Lepisosteus oculatus: one gene and its partners. The protein of the gene in region 1 purifies or fractionates together with the protein of each later gene. This does not show direct contact. Links are inferred from orthologs where the notes say so. Each region holds a gene or a part of one and is shown on either strand. Other genes may lie near its edges.

Evidence for each region.
Region 2: the proteins of kpnb1 (region 1) and nup214 purify together in Homo sapiens (affinity purification with mass spectrometry; 3 studies listed by BioGRID and IntAct, with this or other methods). This does not show direct contact. The link is inferred for Lepisosteus oculatus from reciprocal best matches to the Homo sapiens genes KPNB1 and NUP214.
Region 3: the proteins of kpnb1 (region 1) and kpna6 purify together in Homo sapiens (affinity purification with mass spectrometry; 4 studies listed by BioGRID and IntAct, with this or other methods). This does not show direct contact. The link is inferred for Lepisosteus oculatus from reciprocal best matches to the Homo sapiens genes KPNB1 and KPNA6.

Annotation. Positions count from the first base shown.
Region 1 is NC_090723.1:10,479,163-10,486,292, forward strand, and holds the start of kpnb1 (importin subunit beta-1), read right to left. Parts: upstream 3,034-7,130; 5' UTR 2,797-3,033; coding exon 2,757-2,796; intron 2,013-2,756; coding exon 1,954-2,012; intron 555-1,953; coding exon 372-554; intron 31-371; coding exon 1-30. Other genes in the region: npepps (puromycin-sensitive aminopeptidase), read right to left, coding at 6,314-6,469.
Region 2 is NC_090719.1:15,565,446-15,572,362, forward strand, and holds the start of nup214 (nuclear pore complex protein Nup214), read right to left. Parts: upstream 3,020-6,917; 5' UTR 3,001-3,019; intron 2,855-3,000; exon of another isoform or gene 2,820-2,854; intron 2,713-2,819; exon of another isoform or gene 2,289-2,712; coding exon 2,247-2,288; intron 1,582-2,246; coding exon 1,386-1,581; intron 860-1,385; coding exon 708-859; intron 317-707; coding exon 118-316; intron 1-117. UniProt on the Homo sapiens protein: Part of the nuclear pore complex. Has a critical role in nucleocytoplasmic transport.
Region 3 is NC_090706.1:3,284,728-3,292,616, reverse strand, and holds the start of kpna6 (importin subunit alpha-7), read right to left. Parts: upstream 3,020-7,889; 5' UTR 2,868-3,019; coding exon 2,864-2,867; intron 2,812-2,863; exon of another isoform or gene 2,441-2,811; intron 1-2,440. Other genes in the region: tmem39b (transmembrane protein 39B), read right to left, coding at 5,045-5,281, 6,005-6,125, 7,269-7,456. UniProt on the Homo sapiens protein: Functions in nuclear protein import as an adapter protein for nuclear receptor KPNB1. Binds specifically and directly to substrates containing either a simple or bipartite NLS motif.

The DNA of each region.
Region 1 (7,130 bases):
GTATGTTTCTGTACCCAGAGTCTGCAGCACCTGTAACAAGGAAAGTTGTCAGTATTGGGTTATTAAAAAAGGTCTGCTTATGTCTGCAGTGATACACAATTCCTTTAACTCCAGTTTAATAATAAAAGAACTGTCCATTTAACACCAGTGTCTAAAATAATAAATATGGAAGCTAGAAGTATTATAGAGCACTATGATGTAATAGTTCAAAAGAACACAACAAGCACCCCAACAACACCACCATACTGGCTTGATACACTTGTGTCTGCTATGAAGCATGGTGAATGAACCTACTTCGTCTCATATAAAGAACCGAAAAACTTCAGCTGGTAACTGATCAGTTCTGAATGCAGCAGCTGTGCCAGACTTACATAGTTCTTTATTTCTCTCCGTGCGTTGGCATCTATCGCGAGCCACCTCTGCTGATACTGCGTCTTCACATCAGGGTCTTTGGAGGTTAGGGAATTCTTCACCTGGAGGCCAGCCGCCACCCGTGCCACCTGACTGTTCCCCGGGTTCGCCAGCACTTTCGACAGTTCCACCAGGAAGGTAGGCTGGGAGATGAACAAGCCACAGATATGAGCCATCGCAGCCAAAGCAGGAGCTGACCCCTGACCCGAATCCACACTACAAGAGCAGCATTCCAAGCGGTAACCCCTTCCCTTTTAGAACAAACAGCCACTTCTGCGTTTATTATGTTCACTTCTGCAAGACCCTCAGTTAACACTCTCAGCCACAGCAGGCACCAGAGCAGTACTTTACCACAAAAATGTGTCCGTTCATTTTCTGTTAATAAATGCCTCTTCTGCCATTACGGATGGCTCTAACCGAACTGCTCGGCTGAGACCTAGAATGCAGATGCCTGCACGGCATGCCGAAACCACGAACCAGGCCGAGCGCTGGAAGGTCAACTCCTCAACTTATCCAGTGTGTTCTCTGGGAATGCCTTTGGACGTCACAATCAATCTCTGCCAACTATTAGTTACTATTAGGCCTCTGTTTTTGACTTTCACAAGTTTGTCCTACTAATTAGTTATTAGTTTAAAAAAGGGCAGTTGCCATACTTTTCCATACTGTTAGTACTAAATGACAAAGAGCTAAACCTTATTACATGTCTTAAAAAGATTTCAATTACTTAAAATAAAAGGCAACGGTAGAAGTAAAATGAGACGTTAAGCAGATTCATGGTAATCTTCAAATGCCAGTGTTTTTGTTGCACATGCATGCACCACTGCATGGTTGGAACAGAGCTTGCAAATAGCAGCCTGCACTGAAAAGGGTATTCTCATGAAGGTGGCTCTGAACAACATGAGTGGCTTCGTAGTTCAGATCTTTATCTTTGAACATATGTAAAAATGATAGATACTTTAAAGACCGGATTATAAAGCGTTCATAGTAGTATTGAAATTTGCACTTTAACTTATGCATAAGTTAAAAAATGACTATCTACGCTGTACACTGCACATATAACCACCAATCCGAACACTCTCCTTTGCTGAAAAGTAACCTTTTCTGTCCACGCCTACATCTGCAGAGCCTGGGGAATAACTTCAGGACATCGATGGTCATTCGTAAATAACTCTGTACCAGAGGTGAAAGCAGAAATTACTCTCGGTTTCTAAGCCAGATGCACAGACCACCAAGCCCGTCTGTAAGCGGTCAGGCCCCGCGGATCGGCGCTCACATGGCCCCGGACTGGGCCCCTGCCTCTACCGAGCCCCCACGCCCTGTACGGGAGCCGCCATTGGACACGCTGCACGGGAAATCCGGGCCCGCGATTCTCCACGCAGCGCGTCAATCAAACTCACAGCCGATTACAATGGAGTGGGCAGCGGGGGCATGGCGCTTTTTCATTCAGGATCTTTTCTGCGTAATGGAGGACTTGGGCACCAGACAGGGGGCAAGAAATCTACGCAGAGCACAGACTGGGGGGGTGAAAAAACCAATACAAACCAAGTTCTCAATAGCTGCCTGCTCCAGAAACTTCTGCGCAGCCTCCAGCTCATTCCGATCTGAAATAAAATGAACAAAAATGTCGCTTAAATCCGCTAACGGGTACTCAATGAAAATACCCTTATAGATCAGCAATTTAGACATCTACACGGAGGCCTAGAATCGTACAGCTAGAAATCTCCATTTTCCTAGAAAATCACTCCCAGGCGGAGCTCGCAGGCGGCGGAGCGCCCCAGGCCGCGGCCGGCAGCTCATGCGGGACCACACGGACCGGCCGCCAGGGCTCACCGCGCAGGCGGGCACGCCGGAAAACGGCACTCAGATCCCCAAGTTAGTGACACCACTAATCTGCAGCCCCATCATTCGACTTCGAGCTGCCCACAGACCCACGATTTAAATAAATTGTACAGGAAACCACCGGTGAGATGCAGAAGTTACACCGATCCACGACCCGGCCTTTCGAGCCCTACAATTACACCTCCTGTTCCGATTAGGCCGCTTTCCCAGACAGACCTCGCCGGGCCAGCCGGTGCCCAGAGGCGCCCCTGGACTGGCCCAGGGAGGCCAGCGGGAGCCCAGGGGCCGCGCCGGGAGGCCGGGCGACGTGCGCGGGGAATCGGCCCCAGAAAGCCGGTCCGGCAGGCTTGCAGGCCGAGTCCACCCCTCCCTCCCTTTCACAAACAACTTTCCGTTCCGGAGCCCGATTCTCCCGGGATCCACGGCTTTCAAGCCGAACAAGCACCGGATTGAAAGCAGTTGTGAGGACATAAAGAGAAGTCCCGCGGCTCCGGGGGTATAATCACCTGGAGAGACAGTTTTTTCGAGGATGGTGATGAGCTCCATTCTGCCCGAGCCGCTCCACACAAGTAGTAGCTGGTAGCGCACCACAGAAACCGGATCAGACTCCTTCTGTATTCAGGCGATATGACATGAAAGTTTCCAAACGGAGGAGGGCGGACGATGAAACGCGTTTCCCCAGCGAGCGCCCGGCGAGGCGGTAAGTGCTCTCCGAGCGGCAGTGCTGCTGTCTGGGGGGAAGGAGCTGCTTCACGCTCCCGCGGAAGGATATCACGCGCCGCCGCAGTGGCAGAGCCTCCTCCCCTCCGGCGCGCCCCCGTCCCCGGCGCGCCCCCGAGGCCCGCTCCTGCCCGCGCCGCCGCGAGAGCCGGCCTGTCCCCCCTGCCAGATGTGCGCGCTCCTGCGGACGGAGCGGGGGCGGCTGTCCCTAATAACAGCAATATTCACCCGAATATTCATTATAATAGAGACGTCCTGTCTGCAGGATTACATCCACAAGCCTGTATGTAAACTATAGATCTATAGTTTACTGCAAGTCACATTATTAGCGTGGGGGTAACACAGCTAATGTTACAACATGGTGTAGTAACAGATGTAGTACAGAGTGAGGTACTTTAAAAAACAGCAATACGAGCAGCAAGGTAACGTGATCGGGAGAAACAGACAGGCGAAACGTGGGCTCAGGGATTGAGGAGACCGGCGGAGCGCAGCGCAGGCCTGGCCTGTAGACACGGGCACACCCAGACCCCGGCACGACGGGTGGTCTCACATCATCCTGCTGGCTCCTTCTGCGGCTCCAGGAATAATTACTTAGGGGGTCTTGCATGTGAGGAGCGGAGCCACAGTGAATCATTTTAGTATGTTGATTTTTTTCCTTTGTACCTCTTAAGTAAGCAATGCAGTATGCTGAATTTATGTTTTATCAGAAAGAACTGTAGCCGTCACCGATATCTATCACAGTATGCAAAATACACTTTCCCGGTGGGGTGACTTAACCTCCCCCCCCAGCCTCATGAAAGAGCCCTGAATATCAGTATTTTTCTTAAGACCTAGAAAACGAGATTTGCTCAAACAGTGCAACATCCGCCCTGTCGACGTTTAGCACGCCTTTTCTTCCGTAATCCACATTCAAAAACGAAAGTCAGAAAAGTAAATGTAGGAAGTAGATAGGAGCATTTTAATAGATCCGAAAAGGCAGATTCCTTGATAACCATCAACTCCGCGGCACTTTCCCGTGCCTTGTCCGTGTGTGTGCGGGGGACTATTTGACTCCGTCTGTGCAAGGATACACGGCCCGCAGGGCGCGATGAGGCGCTGGAAGAGTTTGTACTTCCCGCCCGGCGGTGCGGCTCGCGCAGCTCGCGGCCCGAGGGCGCTGGGTTTACAGACAGGGCAGGGCGCGTGGACTGCGCAGAGCTCGAGGTTTGCCCAGCGGAAGGCAGTGCGATTTGCTTCCAGGTATAACGCACAGCAGCTACACGAGCCCTGTTTAGTATAAAATATTCAAATCAACAGTCTCAAATATTAAGAAGAAATTTTGTCAGAGAGTTTAAGATTGTTCTGTTACATAACATTGCTGGATAAGGCCATCACCAGAGGAGGCCTGAAATGCTACAGAGAAGCAGACATTGCAGTTCAGTGGTATTGCAGCCATAACAGACAGCTCATTTACAGCTGGCTGCAGAGCACAAATTAGCTTGACCTCAAATTGCAAAAACTGTGTAAAACTAAAATGGTGTGCTTTGGTGTCCGCCTTCTGCAGGCTAAGGCTGATGCAAGTCAATCTTTTCTGAATAAGAGGTTACCGAACAGCTAGACTGGTGCTAAACGGGCCAATCCTCTCCTGGTTTGGTTGCTTGCTTTATGTTCAAAGTTCACGGCAATCAGATTTTAATATATAAGAATAATAAAAATCTGTGTTTTTCCCTCATAAAAGTATTTAATAGCGACTCAAAACTGAAAAACAACTGCTTGGCCTGCAGTTCTGCGGCCCGTGTGTGGGCCCGAGTCTCCAGTGTGGAGAAGCAGCTTCAGCTCTTGTGGCACCACTGCCAGAACAGCAGCTGTGCCAGTTCCCGATTCTCTGCTCAACACAGCAGCACGGTCCAAATACTGGACACACCCCAGGGAACTGGGTAATATGGAGATGCACTTCTCAGCTCAATCTCCTTTGGCATGAAGGATAACCGCTCCAGGTTTGCAAACATACACATCAACACTGTCATTGAAGAAAGGAGTGATGTTGGCATTCTTTCCTTTTATTACATTGCTTTATAGCAATATTTTGTTTCAGTTGCCAGTAACCTATGACTGACAGGTCCTAACAAGTTTGTAAGAGAGTAAAAAAGAAAAAGCGATTTCACATTGACACTTCTTGTTGATTTTTTATTTTATGAACACCAACCGTTTTTTAAACAAAAGCACAACAGATGTTTCAGGGAAGCAATTTGACAATTAGTTTGATGACCTTCTCCAGTATGGTTCAAAGCCACACTAAATAGCAAATTGTATGTAAATATATCCTTTCAACAAGTCTACACGTAGATTTGTAATGTTAGTACAACATTGCTTTATTTTCAGTGTAGTAACTATTACCACTTCACAGTGTAATAATTATTGCAAACCAGTTTAACCAATTTAAGGCTTCTTAATTCAATAGCCGTGAAATCCTAGTTACTTTGTGGCAAAGTTCTCAGGGCCTGAAAGTTTCATTTCTTTAAAACTAATTTAATATGCAGCATTATCTGTAAATGTCATTTAAAAGGCCCAAATCGCTTTGAAGAACTTTTCATGAGTTTCACAACTTTAAAACAATTGCTAAATCTACTAAAATATCTGTATCTAATTTTATTTAATGTGGCTGATACACAGATGTGTTTCCAGGCAGAGGCTCTGTGCTGCTCTACAGAGGACGCAGCTCAGGGTCAAGGAGGTGTGGGACCATGGAAAAGAAAAGAGTCCTTCTGGAAAAGGGCTACGAAACGGAGGAGGGAAGAAAATCATGTACATCACCATTCTTGAGTGAGAAGTCTTGCGTGAATAAACACTGGATAGATACATATCAAGTTCCATGCTAGTTTCAGCCATTCCCACTGAGCTATTCTCAGCATCACCCTTCAGCGCTGCTGTGTGCTAACGGCTGCTCTCCGCGCGAGGAGAAGTTAAGCCCATCCTGCCCAGCTCCACTTGACCGCCTGACCCCCAGTGAGGTGCCAGAGCTGCCTCGTGGTCGCTTGACGCTTTGTTTCCAGAAAAGCAAATTCATCATTTCACAGTACGCTCAACAATGCAACATTTCCACTTATGTCAATATGAAACAAAATTGGCCAGAATCATTTCACACCAACAATGTTATGTTGTGTGTTTTAAGTTATGTTGCTTAGTTACTTGCAAGCACGGTTCCGTCTGGGGAAAACAATCTGGCGTGGGCAGAATGGGGTTAACTACATTCATTTTCCAACCAGTCTTGTCTACTTGATGTGGAGAAGTGGAGTCAGGAGAGCGTGGCTGACTCCTCCCTCGGCCCCTGGCCCGGTTGCGGGACGGCGCGGGCCGCAGGGCGTCAGACGGCGGCGCTGGGTGGGGCTCGGCGCTGCAGGATATACTGGTGGATGTCCTCGGCGTCACGCTTCAGCCAGGCGGTGTTCAGGAGGATGTTCTCGCAGCACTGCTGCACCGTCCGCTCGGCTGCGGGGGCGTGGTGGCTCTCGAAGAAGCTCTGGGGGGGGGGGGCAGACAGTTCTGGTCAGTGTGAAACACAAAACTCCCCCTGGCAAAACTACACTCTGATGGGGTAATTAACACATTTTAGTGCACACTAACTATGGCTGATACAGGGGATGATGTTGTATTAAATTTCCCAAGGGAACCTGCAGGCTCTTTACTTTGTGTCCAGTATAGCTTCCTCTATGTGCTCTGTGCAGCCCCAGGGCCCAGGGGTGTGAGGTTTAGATGTGTGTTGTTAGATGGAGACAGAGCTCCTTCACGAACCTACACAGTCTATACACCCCCACATCCCAAAAAATATTAAATCCTTAATATTCACTGAAGAAACACTGATGAAACACGCTAACCATTAGCAAAAAGGCAGCGTGCGAGTTCATTCAAATACAGTACATATTGTGAATTTATAGTGGTTGTTGTGAGCTAATTAATGTGTGAGGAAAACGGGCTTTGAAATGAAAAAAAATGCCGATGATTGGAACTATTACCGCATTTGATACTAGCACTGAGGACTGGGCAACGTACATTGAAAGAGTGGAAATGTACTGCGAAGCAAATGATGTAGCAGACAATAAGAGAGTGTCTGTCTTGTGGAGTGTGATGGGAGCAAAGACATACAGGTTGCTCCGTAGTTTGTTAACCCCTAACAAACCAGC
Region 2 (6,917 bases), on another chromosome or scaffold:
AACAACAGTGCTTTAAGGCCTTGCACCTGCATCACAACCCATTAAACAGATCTGTTCATCTTAATGGGCTGAGCACACTAATCTTGGGGCGGATTAGCCACGGAGGAGCACGCTCACCACATGTGATTCCCTCAGTGGGGGGCAACTGAGCCTGCAGCTTGGCACTGTCCAGGACCTCCAGAACCAGCATGCTGCCGTCGGACAGGCAGGCCGCCAGGAGGGAGGGCAGGGCCGGGTTCCACTTCAGGTCCTTCACCGAGGTCCCCGGCTGCACGGCCGGCCTGAGGCTGGTGAACGGCAGCTTCTCTGGCCTGGCCTGAGGGGAGAGGCACGGCCACGTCAACGCGGTGACCTTCTCCTTCCTTCCTGACGTTAAAGCTATAGCTGCCACGAGCGCTGGCACTGAATGACAGGCTATACGGCAGGTACACTCAGCCTCAGGGCTGCTATTCAAGTGAGCTGCGCTGCCAACAGGTGGGGAATCTGTTCACTGCCACCCGGGAGGATGTATTGCTTTGTGTTATAAAGCTGCAGTCAAACGCAGTCTTTTTTAAGAAACACGCAACTACAGTGGTTCATGCTCGTCGCCATCCTCTGCTGGAAGGCTATTTTTCCCATTAATGCTTGAAAGCTCTTTTACAGAAAACCTCCTCTAAAGCTCCAGGGAGACGAGATGACAGAAGGAGCTTTCAGTGCAGAAAGCCTACCTTATTGAGCAGAGTTCGGACGTCAAAGAAAGACAATTTCCCCCCCCCCTCAGCGGACAGCGTGCACACCGACAGGGTGAGCTCATCACAGCTCAGAGCCACATGGTGCACAGGAGATTCCAGAGCAACGCTTGTACCATTTACACCCTCCACTGAAAAACAGAGAAATCCAGATGAATTCCTGCATCAACATGAAACACAGCCACAATAGAACTGCAAAACAAGAACATACCATAGCAACACAAAACTGATAACATAATTGATCAAAATGTAATTATCACGAGTATTGTATACAACTAAAAGCACAAGTTATGCTAATCTTTTACAGATTGTGCACAAGGATACACATAAGGCTCCTATAACACAGCAATCTGATTTGGTTTAGAGCTGTGGGAATCTTCTTAAATGCATACAGGTAAAGCAAAAACAAATGTTTTTAATATTGCATTTGTTTACTGCAATGCAAGAGTACTCAAAATTATTTTACAGGCTTTAGAGAGCTATACAATTTTGGACCAAAATGTTAGGGTACAGATCCTAAGTCTGAATTTGATACAGGCAAGTGCAAGGATTTTCTCTGGCTTGACTATATTGTTTAAATCTAACTGGAAACCAATCAGCTATGATCCATGTTCACACTCTGCTCAGAAGTAAACACCCTCTGAAGTCACACTGTACCTATTTCGTTGGGATTGCCCTCAATCCGGTTTGCTGCAACGATGTCACAGGTTTGGAACACTTTGAGCTCCGTGTCATAGCCTATAAACGTCAGCCCATACTTGTTGGAAACTGCAAGCAGGTTAGACCTTTCTTTCGGCAACTCCTCTGGGGTGTCAAAAATGCGGATCTTCTTCATCTGCCTAAATTGAAAATCCTGCAAACAACAAATAAAAAGCATTTAAGCCGTGCACGTACTCTTTGTCCTCCTTAAAGTCTCTTGTAAAAACTGTTTACTGAAGTAACAGACACTGACAGTGCTGTACAGTTACGTTACAGTCTGTGGACCTCAGACATGAAGTTTATCCCTCAGTCGCAGAGGCAGCATTCCACAAGAACAAGATCTGTTTTTTGCAAAATGATTAAAAAGCACCACCTTCCATTCCAGCAGGAATAAGACGGATTTACATATGTATACGATAAATTCAGAACTTTCGAAACGAAGAAATGAAAGTGAAAACAACACAGGCTCAAATGTTTGCCGGCATCCTCGTAGATAATGGGTATGGAATAGAAAAAACGTAAAGCCTAATCTAACATATCATCAAGAAAATAATTTGAATGCTTAACTTAAAAATATCGTATAACTCTAAGGCAAATAGCACATTACAAAATAAGAAAATACATTCTAGACATACGAAAGTGTGACAGGAGTATCTAAATACTTTTTTAAGAATAGCTTTATCGTGTTTCGACAATCACAGCTGTCACTCAACCACGGTAAAAGTCTTAAGAGAGGCAAACCACGAAGATGTCGTGCACTCGGTACTGCAAATCGACCAATGTAAACTGAAAGCTTCACAAATTGTTTCAAACACTTACCTTCATTTCCCTTTCGGGAATTGCGTCCAAATCGTCGCTCATCTTGTATCACCGCAAAAGCAACGGTAAATTAATAAATGCAATAGCAGAAAAACAGTCAACTGTATTAAGTTTCAAATTAGTCTGAAACTCAAATTCGCAATAGTTTCATGATTCTCCTGACACCATCATGGCTTCTGTCTCAGTGCGACTGAGAATCAACACATCCGTCGCATGTCTTACGTCACAGATTCAAAACTATGGCGCCTCCCCTTGAGAAAATCAATTTACTGTATTATCCGTCACGGTGTCGTGTTAAACATTACTAAAATTGATTAAAAAAATTAAAAGTGTTTCATTAGCTGTTTCTGTGCGTGTAAAACTTTTCAACCTCTTGTCCTGGCTGGAAAATTGAATTCCTCAGGAAAGTTACAGTGGAATGTATCAGGAAAATGTTGTTAGAAAATTTAAACTGATGAGCTAAAATACATATTGTGTGTGTGTGACAATACTTGCTACGTGCTAATATATGACATAAATTAAAGTAATACAAAACTAAATGGTTAAAAATAAAACACCACTTGGAAAACTCACAATACTAAAATAGTCCACAATGTGGCGCTGTTTTTCTAATAGTTTCCTTACAGAGCTCCGTGAAGTTGGCCCCCCTACAGAGCACAAACGATCAAACCCACTTCATTCGTTTGTGCAAGTTTGTGCCAGTTTGTGTCGTTGAAAGTAGTGTTTGTGCCGCTTTCGTTCCCAGATATAGCACCTTGTTTTTCCGGTGATCATGTAACCATGCACGGCGACCTTGACCTCCAGTGACCCCGCCTTTACACGTCCCTTGGTGCGTGTTTATTGAAGAAGGAGACGGTGAGAAACTGATCATTTCAGGGTTTTTTTTTTTAAACACACACTGCTACGAAGTATTGAGACGTGCTCGTTAAAGCCTCTTGGTAAGAACATGCAATTGTTTGCTGGTGTTCTCTCTTTGAGACTACACCCGCAACTCTTCTGATTAGGGTGTGTGATATTCGTGACAAATCACTCCAACGCACAGAGGACACTGATATTTAATGCAAAATCCACCGCCGCCCCCCACCCGGGCAAACAGAGGAACACAACTGCAGAGCCGTTCCTCTCGCACCCCTCACAGACGCTTGAACTCGGGGTCACTGGAGGTCAAGGTCGCGTGATCACCGGAAGGACAAGGCGCTATATCTGGGGAACGAAACCGGCACAAACGACTGAGACCGGTCCGGTTTCCCTACGACGTTGTAGGGGTTCTGGGCAAGGTCACCCCTGAAAAAGAAGACGTTGTATCTAAGGAACGAAAGCAGCTGGGAAGTTACTTTCAACGGCACAAACCGGCACAAACGCTGCACTAACGATTGAGGTGGGTTTCGTCGTTTGTGCTGTGTGTAGGCGGGGGCAACTTCACGGAGCTTTTCATTACAGGCTGTTGGGAAGTACGCGACGGTTACTCATAAATGTGATTATGATCCATTACTGCTACGGAAAACAACATGCTGTTGTTGTTTTCCGCAGACGGTCGCCACTGCAGGTTGAGCGGGCCGGCTTACCGGCGCGGTGACGTCACCGCCCTTCCCTGTGAATAGGGAGGGCGGCTCAGGGAGATTTCCCTTTAGCTCAACGGGCGGGGTCCCTGTTGAGTGACCGGAGGCCCGGGTTCGAGTCCCTAGCGGTGGGGGGCCGACCTGAGGTGGGCACATACCCCCGTGAACCCGAGAGCGCTGCAATATATTCTTTGAAATTCTCCCGATAATTAGACTTGTTTAGATAATTAGATTTGTAATGCCTTTATCTATGGTGATAGATATTCATGGGACAAAATTTCACAAGTGACCGTAACAAAGTTACTGTGCAACGAGAAGAGTGATGTATTGAAACTTGGTTTGAATCATCACCCATTGAGGTAAGAAACAGAACAAATACAATGTACAGAATTATTTTTGTACAACACTTTTCCACCCAAAGATTTTGAAATTACTTGAGAGACTGTATGTACTGTATTATTATTATTATTATTATTATTATTATTATTATTATTATTATGTATATATTACTGTACATTAATACATAAAATAAATATGCCCACTGTATTCACCCCCCTAGGAGCCCCACTACACTGCAGATCAGGTAAAGAAGTGCAAAATTGCTATAACTGCAATAAAATTAAGAGGGAACTTAACTTGGTGGGTGAGATTTTGAGGGTTTAACAACCTTTCTCTTACAAATAGGGCAATGGGTCTTTGGTCTTTGGAAACCAAGCAATGAGAACCTCAGATTAACATTATTAAAACATTCATATCCCTGTATTTAAATCTGATATAGTTAAAAAAGGATCAAAATAGATCCACATTTATTCCTGTATGGCATCTTAATAATAATTCAGATTGAATGTGTAGGTTTTAGCACTATTGTTTTTTAACCAAAAACATAACAAAACAACAATACTGCAAACGGCTTTCTGATTAACTGACAATAAAAGAAAACAAACAGTGTTTGTACTTGGAAAGGTCAGTCCCACTGATAAGCTTGTAGCAATTGTTTTACAGTTGGTTTCATTTCCAAAACCCTGGGTTGGACAGACTCAACAGGTTTTGCATTGAGAAGCCTACTGTTGACTTCTTATTGTAATTGCAAAAACGTTCGAAAATGTCTAATTAAATTCTGATTCATTTTTTAAAATGCCATTTCATTTATTAGACATCATGTTTATGCAGTTTGGTAACAGAAAAAAACTCAATCCATAAACAACAGAAAGCCAATCAGAAAGTCTGTTACCCTGAAACAAGGTTAAGGAGCTGTAATGCATTGAATATTCCTAACTTTTTAACAGCTTTCCTTATGTGCATTTGGAGCCCTGTTGATAATTATTCTGACTGTTGTTCTGTTGTTAACTTAAAATATCTTACTTAGACTTAAAGTTAGATCCAAATGTTCCTTTTACTGTTTGGTTATCTGTTAACCTTACTTTTGAAGTATTAATATTGTGGCTCTCTGATGTGTCTGAGTACATGTTCTACAGAATATTGAAAAGTACAACACAAAAACGGTCAATATCTTGACAGTATAAATCCATGAGAAAGTTAACAAAGGTGAGAAGGCTGTTCAGTCCACCTTGCACATTTGACTGCTTGTAGATAATTTATTCCAGAGAACCTTCTTGCAAAGCCTTTAACTGTTGATTATAATATAAAATCAACCTAATGGATGAAAATATTGTCTATATGTAACAAGGAATAGTTAGACAAGTGGGCAACACAATTCCTGAATTATGACTTTTAATACTCTGTCATCAACTAAAGACAACTTTAGCCTGGTCTGATTATTTTGGAAAGTTTCACCAAGGAGGAAAGGGACATGATCAGTTCCCATTTTCCTGTCTTTCTTGTTACAGACACCCACCACTATTTTGGTAAAAAAAATGCCTCCTGTTTCCAGTCCTAAACCTCCCGCTTTTAATTTCCATTATTCACAGATCTTGATTGTACAGTATAATTCCCTTGAGTTGAAAAGCAATATCCTTTGAATTTTGCCTGTAACTGCCTTATTTATTTTTATACGGTATTCAGAATGTTTAAAATATAACAATAATTCTCTGATCTGTCAGTTTACTGCAAACAAGTATTTTAACTAGCCAAAGTGTTCTAACTAGTGACTAGTGTTTAGAACATTACAGGGTGCAGGCAGTGTAAATAGGTATTAAAATATGGCACACATACTGTATACTGTAAAGTCTCCTTCCAGTGAGTCTCATTTACATAATGTATGGTAAAAAGGGTTATTTCTGTATAATATAGTAGTTCTTTCTAGTTTATTTCTAGTGTTATCAAGGATTCAGCTTATATTATAGTATTGGTAGCAGTGTGAAATGGCAGTTAGGTGTCTAGACTCATAATTGGGAGGCTTGGGTTTAATTCCTGGGTGGGGAACTCCTGTTACACCTCTCAGAAAGATACTGCACTCAGACTGCTCCAGCAAAATGCCCAGACATGTAAGTAAATGGGTACACATGTAAGGCGGTTTGGGAATAAAGCATCGGTTAAATAACTAACTTATTATATCATGTTATAAACAAGCAGACTGTTTAAAATTAAATAATGAAAATAATCTCCTTAGTCAATCTGTTGAATATAAAACTATCTAATCTAATTTCTTCTTTTCATTTAATCGGCGTTGTGGCACAGAGCTAATTAAAATAGAGCATGGGATTACAGTGTCACAGAGCTGTGAACGCCAGGCTCCAGAAGTCACATGTGGAGCCCAGAGTGCACATGTACATTCCTTCTTCCCTTCCTAATAGCTCTTGTCAGTCAAAAGCATTCGTGGTCAAGAAAACCCTAGTCTAGAAGAAAAGAGACTAACACGTCGGCTTTGTATTCTACACACTAGGTGGGAGATTGCTGGAATAATGGCAAGCGGTAATGGAAAGGACCCTACGGGGAAGATGCAGACATGTAAGAGTTTAGATTGTGTTCATGGAGTGCTGCTCAAAATTCCCCAACAGAAAATCCTTAGTTGAAGAGCAACCCTTGGACAAAAGGCTGTAGTACACTGCAGAGAGCCATAATCTAAAACCAGCATAAAAGGTTAAGAAAATGTCTGCTTCCATTGCACTCTGTGGTCAAGGACCTGTGCTGCCCGCACAATAAACCCACTGCA
Region 3 (7,889 bases), on another chromosome or scaffold:
GTCCAGGGATCTCGCTCATGTGGCCGTTTCATGAAAGAAGCCAGGGTATTGTTTTCCCACAACAGGGCTTGTTCCAGGCACCTGTTTTCAGCTCCGGTGGAAAAGTGCCTTGAAAAGAACAGGGAGACACCTACTATCTGCAAGCTGCTTGGGACCGAAAAACTCAAACTCAGATTAAGATAAAATATATAAAATGTAAGGTGCAACTAAGAGATCTAAAGCAAAACGTCGACTCACTTCAAACTATGCAACTGAGCTGCATGACACAAAAAGTATCGAAGATATAGAAGCACTTGAAAACGATCGCTTCAGAGTTACCAGCAGCAGAGCAGTTAGCAGCTCCGTCTGTTTTTCCATGGAACCTGTGCTCCTGGTCTGGGACACGCTCAGGGAGCTGGGAGGCAGGGCCAGACTGCAAACACGGATATCTCAGCGCAGACGGCACCTGCCTGGGCTTCCTTCTCAGGTACGAGATCAAACCGGACAACTTCCTTCCAAACGAGCAAACTCTCCGAGAACCTCCATTCCCTTCCTAAAAGGTTCAGGGGTGACTGCGACCTCTTCCGAAACCGCTAGCAGGAACTGCATCTCCCTCTGGCACTTCGCAATTCAACACCCCACCGTGTTCTCCAAACCTCAGGACAAACGTACAGACGTCCAGTTCATTTTTTAAACACACAATGCTAGATCAGAACCACTGTAATCGGCTAGGAATGAACAATCCAAGGAAGTCTGAAAAGCCATACCAAGAAGAGGGTAATTGTTTTTTTACACAAAAGACCTAAATTCAGTCAATACATGTGTAAGTGATCAAAAATACAAAATGTTCTATGCGCTGTAAAATGTATGACCCTTAATTTACATTTAAGCTGCTGAGAAAACAATGCATCACATATATATGCTTGTGACCGATACACTGTGATACCTTCAGCAGCCCCAGACTATTCACTCTGGGTCAGAGCTGTCCAGCAAGTGCCAAGGCCTGCTAGTCGGTCTTTAATGCCAGCAGGGCCTGAAGAGCAGTGAGAAGCAGTCAGATGGGTCCAGGCAAGCCAATAGCAGTCTGAGTGAGGTCACAAGGAGCTGAGCTGGACTGAAACCCTGCAGTCGCTCCTCCAGAACCACACCTGGACACCCCTGGTCCTGTGATCTTCACGTCCAGGGAAAGTGCCATCCTGGGCATCCAGAAATGAGGAATAACGGATCAATTCAGTCTTTTTGGACTGCCCCATCCTGGTCCTAGAGATCCACACTGCAGCGGAGCCCCTGACCTATGAATCCTTAACTGGACAACAAGTTGCCTGATTGGAACCTCTGCAGGTTTTTTTTATCCTGGTACTCAGAGGTGGTGCTGCACACTGGTGGTTGTGGAGGGGAGTCCCCATTACCTGTAAAGCACTTTGAGTCAGCGAGTCTAGAAAGGCACTATGTAATTGTAAGGAATGACTATTATTATTGAAGGCTGTAGATTTTACTGACAACTTAATAGTTAAAAGGCAGCCTCATAAATCTTGAGGAACTCCAGGGAAAGAGGTTTTACTTGACCTATCATTAGCTATATTAAAGGAGCGATTACTTGAGTGCTCAGGTGGCAGAAACACTAACGGGTCTGTGGTTCTGCAGGGCCAGAATCGAAACCCCTGGCTTAGAGACGATCAAACCCAGGACACCTCCGCATTTACTGGTCCCTTACGACTCTGTCTGCAGTTATCAAATACGATGCCGCAGAGGAACAGTTCACGATGAATATCGGGGGCCACCGACTTTCAGAAATGAAGCGTTTCCCAGCTAGGGTGAAGAATATACTCGAGAGAGCTTAAGCACATGAGTCACTGCCTGACTCAAGAGCCTTGTGCAAATATGAATCAGATCCTGCATGAACAAAACAGACCTAAAAACGTGTGAATAGAAACCGACCCGTTTAAGTCAGACAAAGGCAAATTGAATTATATCTGAAAAACCGGGCACAATTAGATCCTTTAAATCAAACTCCATTCTACTTTAGCGATACTGCAAAAAAAAAATCTAAATCAAATCGGGAGATGATTCCCTCTTTCTTTAATACAGAGGTTTCAAAAGACAAACTAGAGAGAAACGGCGGTAGGCCTGCCAGTTAAAATGTCGGAAGCCGCCACACCAGCGGTTCACACAAATTTAATGTATGTGGAAATATTGTAATTCTTGAAACGCCGTTTTCGATCCCCTCCCCGCAGTTTCTCATACGACGTAGAGGATATATGAAGAAAAACAAATACTGTGTTGTACATCCTACAGGCCAAAAAAGAAACAAGAAAAAACTTCTGATAATGGAAATCATCGGATTACTAAAAAGCCACAACACGTCTAGTACTAAGACAGTGCATAATGAGCCACTGCTATAAACATCCAAATCAAGATCACGTTTTGTAGGGTTTTTTTTATTATTATTTATGTTACGTACCATGCAGACAGATGGAGTGACACTGTGAGAGTGGGTAATATTAGGGAGCGTTTCTGCAATTTTTCCGCCTATGGCTGCTGTAAAAGGTGTTTTTTTTTCCGCTCCCCTCCCTTGGAAACAGCCGCACGGCCTCTCCTGAGCTCAGGCCCGTCCACACAGGGCCCACACCCGGGAGCCGCGCCGAGCCGCGCCGCGCCACGCCACGGACCCGTCCCCAGACAAAACCTGCCGCTTGAGTCGAAACGGATCCCACCCCACCCCTGCCCCGTTTTCCAGCAGAGACAGGGCCGGGGTTTGACAAGCGTGATCTCCCCCCCGCCACCAGCCCGCACGGCTGAGAGAAACTGTGACCCGGGGAATCGGCCCGTCTACCGACGCCCTCTCTCCGCCTGCTCTGCGGGGAGCTACACGCTTTCAACTCACCCATTGCGGCAGATATACGTCCGGTGACAGCCCCCCCGTGTCTCTCTTCTGTCCCGATTTCTGTTAATTTTAATCTCACACCCGCTCTCCCTCCCTTCCAGAATTTGCTGTCCGCAGACAATATGTCGGAAGACGACGGAAGCCCGGAGCAGCCAAATGGCTCGTCGTCGCGTTTTAGAAAAAGGTGGGCGGTTCAGAGCCGGCGATTGCTCGGCGAGGAACTACGCCTGAACAGCTCTGCTGACTGATGCACGCATGCCGATGACAATCCAAGTTGAAGCATTCATTCAGAGCTTCGCAGTTAGATAATAAATGATGCCATACAAATTACTCACACGTACGAGATGAAAAAAACTCTCTCTGAGAGTCAGTCCTTATTTTAACTCCCAAGTAGTAATAATAATAGTAATAATAATAAACTTTATTTTATATAGCGCCTTTAAAGGTGGCTTCTCAAAGCGCTTTATAGAATGACAACAACAATAAATAAAAAGAATACACAAGATAATACACAAGACAGCTAAGGTTCAGCTTGTAGTGTTAATTTGTCTGTAGCCAAACAGCAATTGCAATTTATGCGTGTTCTGGCAGTGCCTATCTTGAAAGAGCTGTCAGATCTTGAGTGGGATATTATGGTCAGGATAAGTTGTGTGCAATCCTTCCTTGTCATGTCTTCCTAAACGTTTTTTCAGCAACATTCTCCAAGGATTCAATTGTCTGTCTGACATTACTAAAGAAATTATAAAACCAGCCAACACCTATCCGAGCACCTAAAGAAAACACTCCAAACATGCCAGCTGCACACAGAACGTGCCACTGTCCAGAATCGAACCCAGGACTTGAGAGCTGCGAGGCAGCAGGAATAATCGCAATGCCACCATCCCAGAAACAAAGACATTAACCATGTCTAGAACACAAAATTTGTAATGTTGTGTTAATTTCACAGGAACTCGTACCTTGATTATTATCAACAGAAAATCCAGAGAACTGATTCATTTTCGATGCATTTAAAGCTTAGGCCCCTACATTTCAGCAATCCAGCTGCATCAAATTAAACTGTAACAAAGTCCGTGAGGGGTAGATTGGTGAACGGCTTACTCAGCAGAGTCAACTCAATAATCACTCACACAGAGCACACTGATGAACTGTCCATCACAACGCACTCTGAACAACAAAAGAGCTGGTTATCTGCAAGATAGATTATCTTCAAAACAGTCAGAAACTGTCCTCCATCTGAACGTCAAGCCCACAGTGCCTTTGCTCTTTACTGTGCAATCAGGTGTCCAGGATAGGGACGGAAATAAAGATGATCTTGAATTTATTTTGGCTGCGACATTTGTACCCTGAACCACAGTCGCAGCCCAAATTGTTTTATTGGCATCCTTCATTGCAAGCAATTGTGAGTAGTGCATTTGACTTGGAGGATTTCTATTCTTCAGTTACAAATTATTCAGCTATATCTTTCCAGGGGTTTAATGAATAGCGATTCATTCTGTTCACCGGTGGTAAGGATTTTCAGGCAAATCGGCTGAACCTAGACTACCAATGATTTTATCAGCAGTTCCAGGTATATCCAAAACACTATCTTGCCTCATAAATTGGAGACAGTTGTGTTTTTCTGTGCTTACATTTGGACTCTGCACCCAAGTGCCATCTTTGAAGAAGAAACAGAACAAACATTCCAAGAGAAGAAAAACATCTTCATTTGCCGTTCAAACACTTTTTAACTGAGAGAAGCAGTGATGAGACAAAGCCAGCAGTCCAAGACATCTGGAGCCACAATGTGTTGATGTGTTGACATTTGCAAAAGAGTATCAGGGGAAAAAACACTATCAGACTGATGCAGTGTGTCATTTTATTTTCTTTCAGATCTTTTTTATTGTTGGCAAAAAATCTTCGGAGACATCTGTCCCAGCCAGTGCCACATACTCTGAGGATGCCCACACATTTCTACCATTGTACTGTCTACACACACACAACCCCAGCACACAAGCGTTCAGTAACACCTCAAATACAACCAAAGAAAGAAAGGAAGACTCTTTTAAGGGAATACAAAAATATGTTTTTTTATTATGGCAGAAAAGAACCAAAAACAAACAACAACGACACGAAGAAAAAAAAGCACTTGTAGAAAAAATACAAAGCTCTCTGGCATATTCTGTAGTTGTTCCATGGCAACATTTAACTTATTTTCTGGTCAGAAGTGCTGCTTGAGGAATACGAGTAAGCCTTCCCTAGTACTATCCTGTCCCGGAGTAATTTGAAGAAGGCATAATAATTACTGAAGAGGATTAAAGCCAGTGATATCGTCTGGTGCCACTTCTCTGAACAGATCAAGGAGTAGAGCTGGTAGAATATCATTGCCCCCTCCAGGATGATAAGGATGTTCAATATCCGCAAGGGCTTGTTGAAGAAAAACTGCGGAAGAGAAAGAAAGACCCGACAGGTGCAGACTGGGTAAGTGCACATCATGTTTGCTATAATCTCAGGTGTGCTTACCTCACCGACATACATTCAAATACATGTTCACTCTCAATCTCACTGGCACTCATTCATAAATATCCTAACACAGTCTCACTGACATACTGTATAATCATATACAGTTATATTCTTCCTGATCTATATTAATGTGTTTTCTCACACATTCTCACTGACATATATTCATAAATATTCATGTATGTAGTCACACATTCCCCCTGATGTATATTTATAAATATTCTCACCGACTCCCATATATTGTCACACATTCTCCCAGATGTATATTCATACATATTCTTCACGATATATATTCATATACAGTATATTCCCACGCATATAAAATATTCTTATAACCCACCACTCATTATTTACTCATTTATGAAAAGGTAGCCCTTTCAGTAGAATTGCAATGCTATTGTAGGGAGTTTGATGGGGTGGAAGAGTTGTATAGGGTACATGCTGCTCCACACATTGTGCTGTAGGAGGTACTATCCTGCAGGTGAGATATTAAACTGGGGCTCCAGGGCTGTTTGTAAGAGCAGAGGTGCTAACCCTGTTGTCCTGGCTAAAGTTCCCCCTTCACTGAACTTAATCTGCCGAGTAGTGGAGCTGCTGTGTGTCACCCAAGAGAGAGAGCTATGTAAAGTAATTACTATTACTTACATAAAATCGATAATGTGATACATCCGAAGGAACTGCTACATTATAGTGACCCATTGCTTTGTAGACATTCTTGTTGTGTTTGACCAGGACTCCGTGTGGCCACATGTACTCTTCTGTCCACCTGTGAGGAAAACACTGGTCATTACAACAGCTCGGCCCCGGCAACAGCAGCTAATACCTGTTTATAATTAAAATAACACTTGCCATATGCTCCTATTGACAGACGGTGCTTTTGGACATTTCAGGTTGTATATTGCAAGAATCAGTTTTAACCTTTTATGCCCTGAATTTTTGTTTTCATGTAAAAAAAAAAAAGAAGTGCTCATTCATTATAGGGACGCTTTGTTAATATAAAAAAAGAACACACAAAAGTTTTGATTGTCGTACAACAAGGATGAGCCGACATCCCTGGGAAGGAAACAGTTCCATTTTCGGAACAACGGGAACGATGGGGTTTATTTCCCAGCGCTGCAGACGGCTCGACGGGCTGGCGGACACTAATATCCGGGGTCAAGCGGGGGGCTGGAATCCTGCGCGATGCCAGTGGCCTGAGGTTGCTGCCGTACGGAGAGCCCGCGGGCAGAGAATGGGGAATGTTGCCCCGAAACCGGAGAGAATGGGGAATGTGGCCCCCGAAACTGGAGAGAATGGGGAATGTGGCCCCCGAAACTGGAGAGAATGGGGAATGTGGCCCCCGAAACTGGAGAGAATGGGGAATGTGGCCCCCGAAACCGGAGAGAATGGGGAATGTGGCCCCGAAACCGGAGAGAATGGGGAATGTGGCCCAAAAGATCATCGGCCGTGGTCTCACAGAGATGAAACAGCTCTATGAGGACCGCTGCCGTGGTAGAATTCTGGCCATCACAGAGGACAGTCACCACCCCGGGCATGAGCTCTTCACCCCACTGCCCTCAGGCAAGAGATACAAGAGCACTCGGTCACTGACCACCAGATTCCTCAATAGCGTCTATCCACAAGCAGTGCGATTGGCAAACACATTTGGCCATGCCCCTCGGAGCACACCTACTCCATCAACCTCATTACGATTTCTTATTTACTGCACATCTGCAGGCATTGTTTACACTCAAACTGTTTACTTGTACATTGTCTACTGTTTGTTTGTATGTTGTCCTGATGCATTGTCCGCACTTTGTGTTTTTACACTTATTAACAATCGAGAGACTTTCTGTAAGTAAGAATTCCACTGTACCAGTACACGAACCGGGTCCACATGGCAATAAAGCTCGAGTTCAAGAGGACTCACGTGTGCTGCAGGACGTTGGAGCAGAGGGAGGGGTCCACTTTCTGCCAGCAGCCCAGGTGGGCGGCGGCCTTGTGCAGGAGGTCGCAGTAGCGGGGGGGCAGCAGGTGGCGCATCAGGATCACGGAGGTGCTGACCGCCACCAGGATGAAGAGCTCGCAGGACCACCTCTTGTCATAGTACTGCGTGCTCTGCAAAAAGGAGAGAGGGATCTGAGGACCACCTGCACAACGGCAACTTAAAGCACCGCCCGGATCATCCTGCGGTCCAGGGGCACAGGGCGGCAACCTGATCAGGGGCTGTCAGTCACATTTAAAAAAGGGCGATGAGTTTATTGGCGTTCATCCACAAACAGCAGAGCGCTCTCCAAAGCTTCTACAGTCTAATAGTTGAAAGTGCACAAAACTTGTTATACCACTGAAGGCAAAAAAAAATAGACAAGCAAAAATAACCGCATTAAAAAAAAGCTGATACAGACAATTCTTTACAGGATTTCTGCATCTCTTGGTGAAAAACTAGAGTTGCTCTAGTGTCCAAAGCCAAGGCACAGCCTTTAACACCGAGACAAATGCAAAATGGCAGATTAACCGCGCGAACCTTCACAGAAAGGGCAAAACAAAGCTC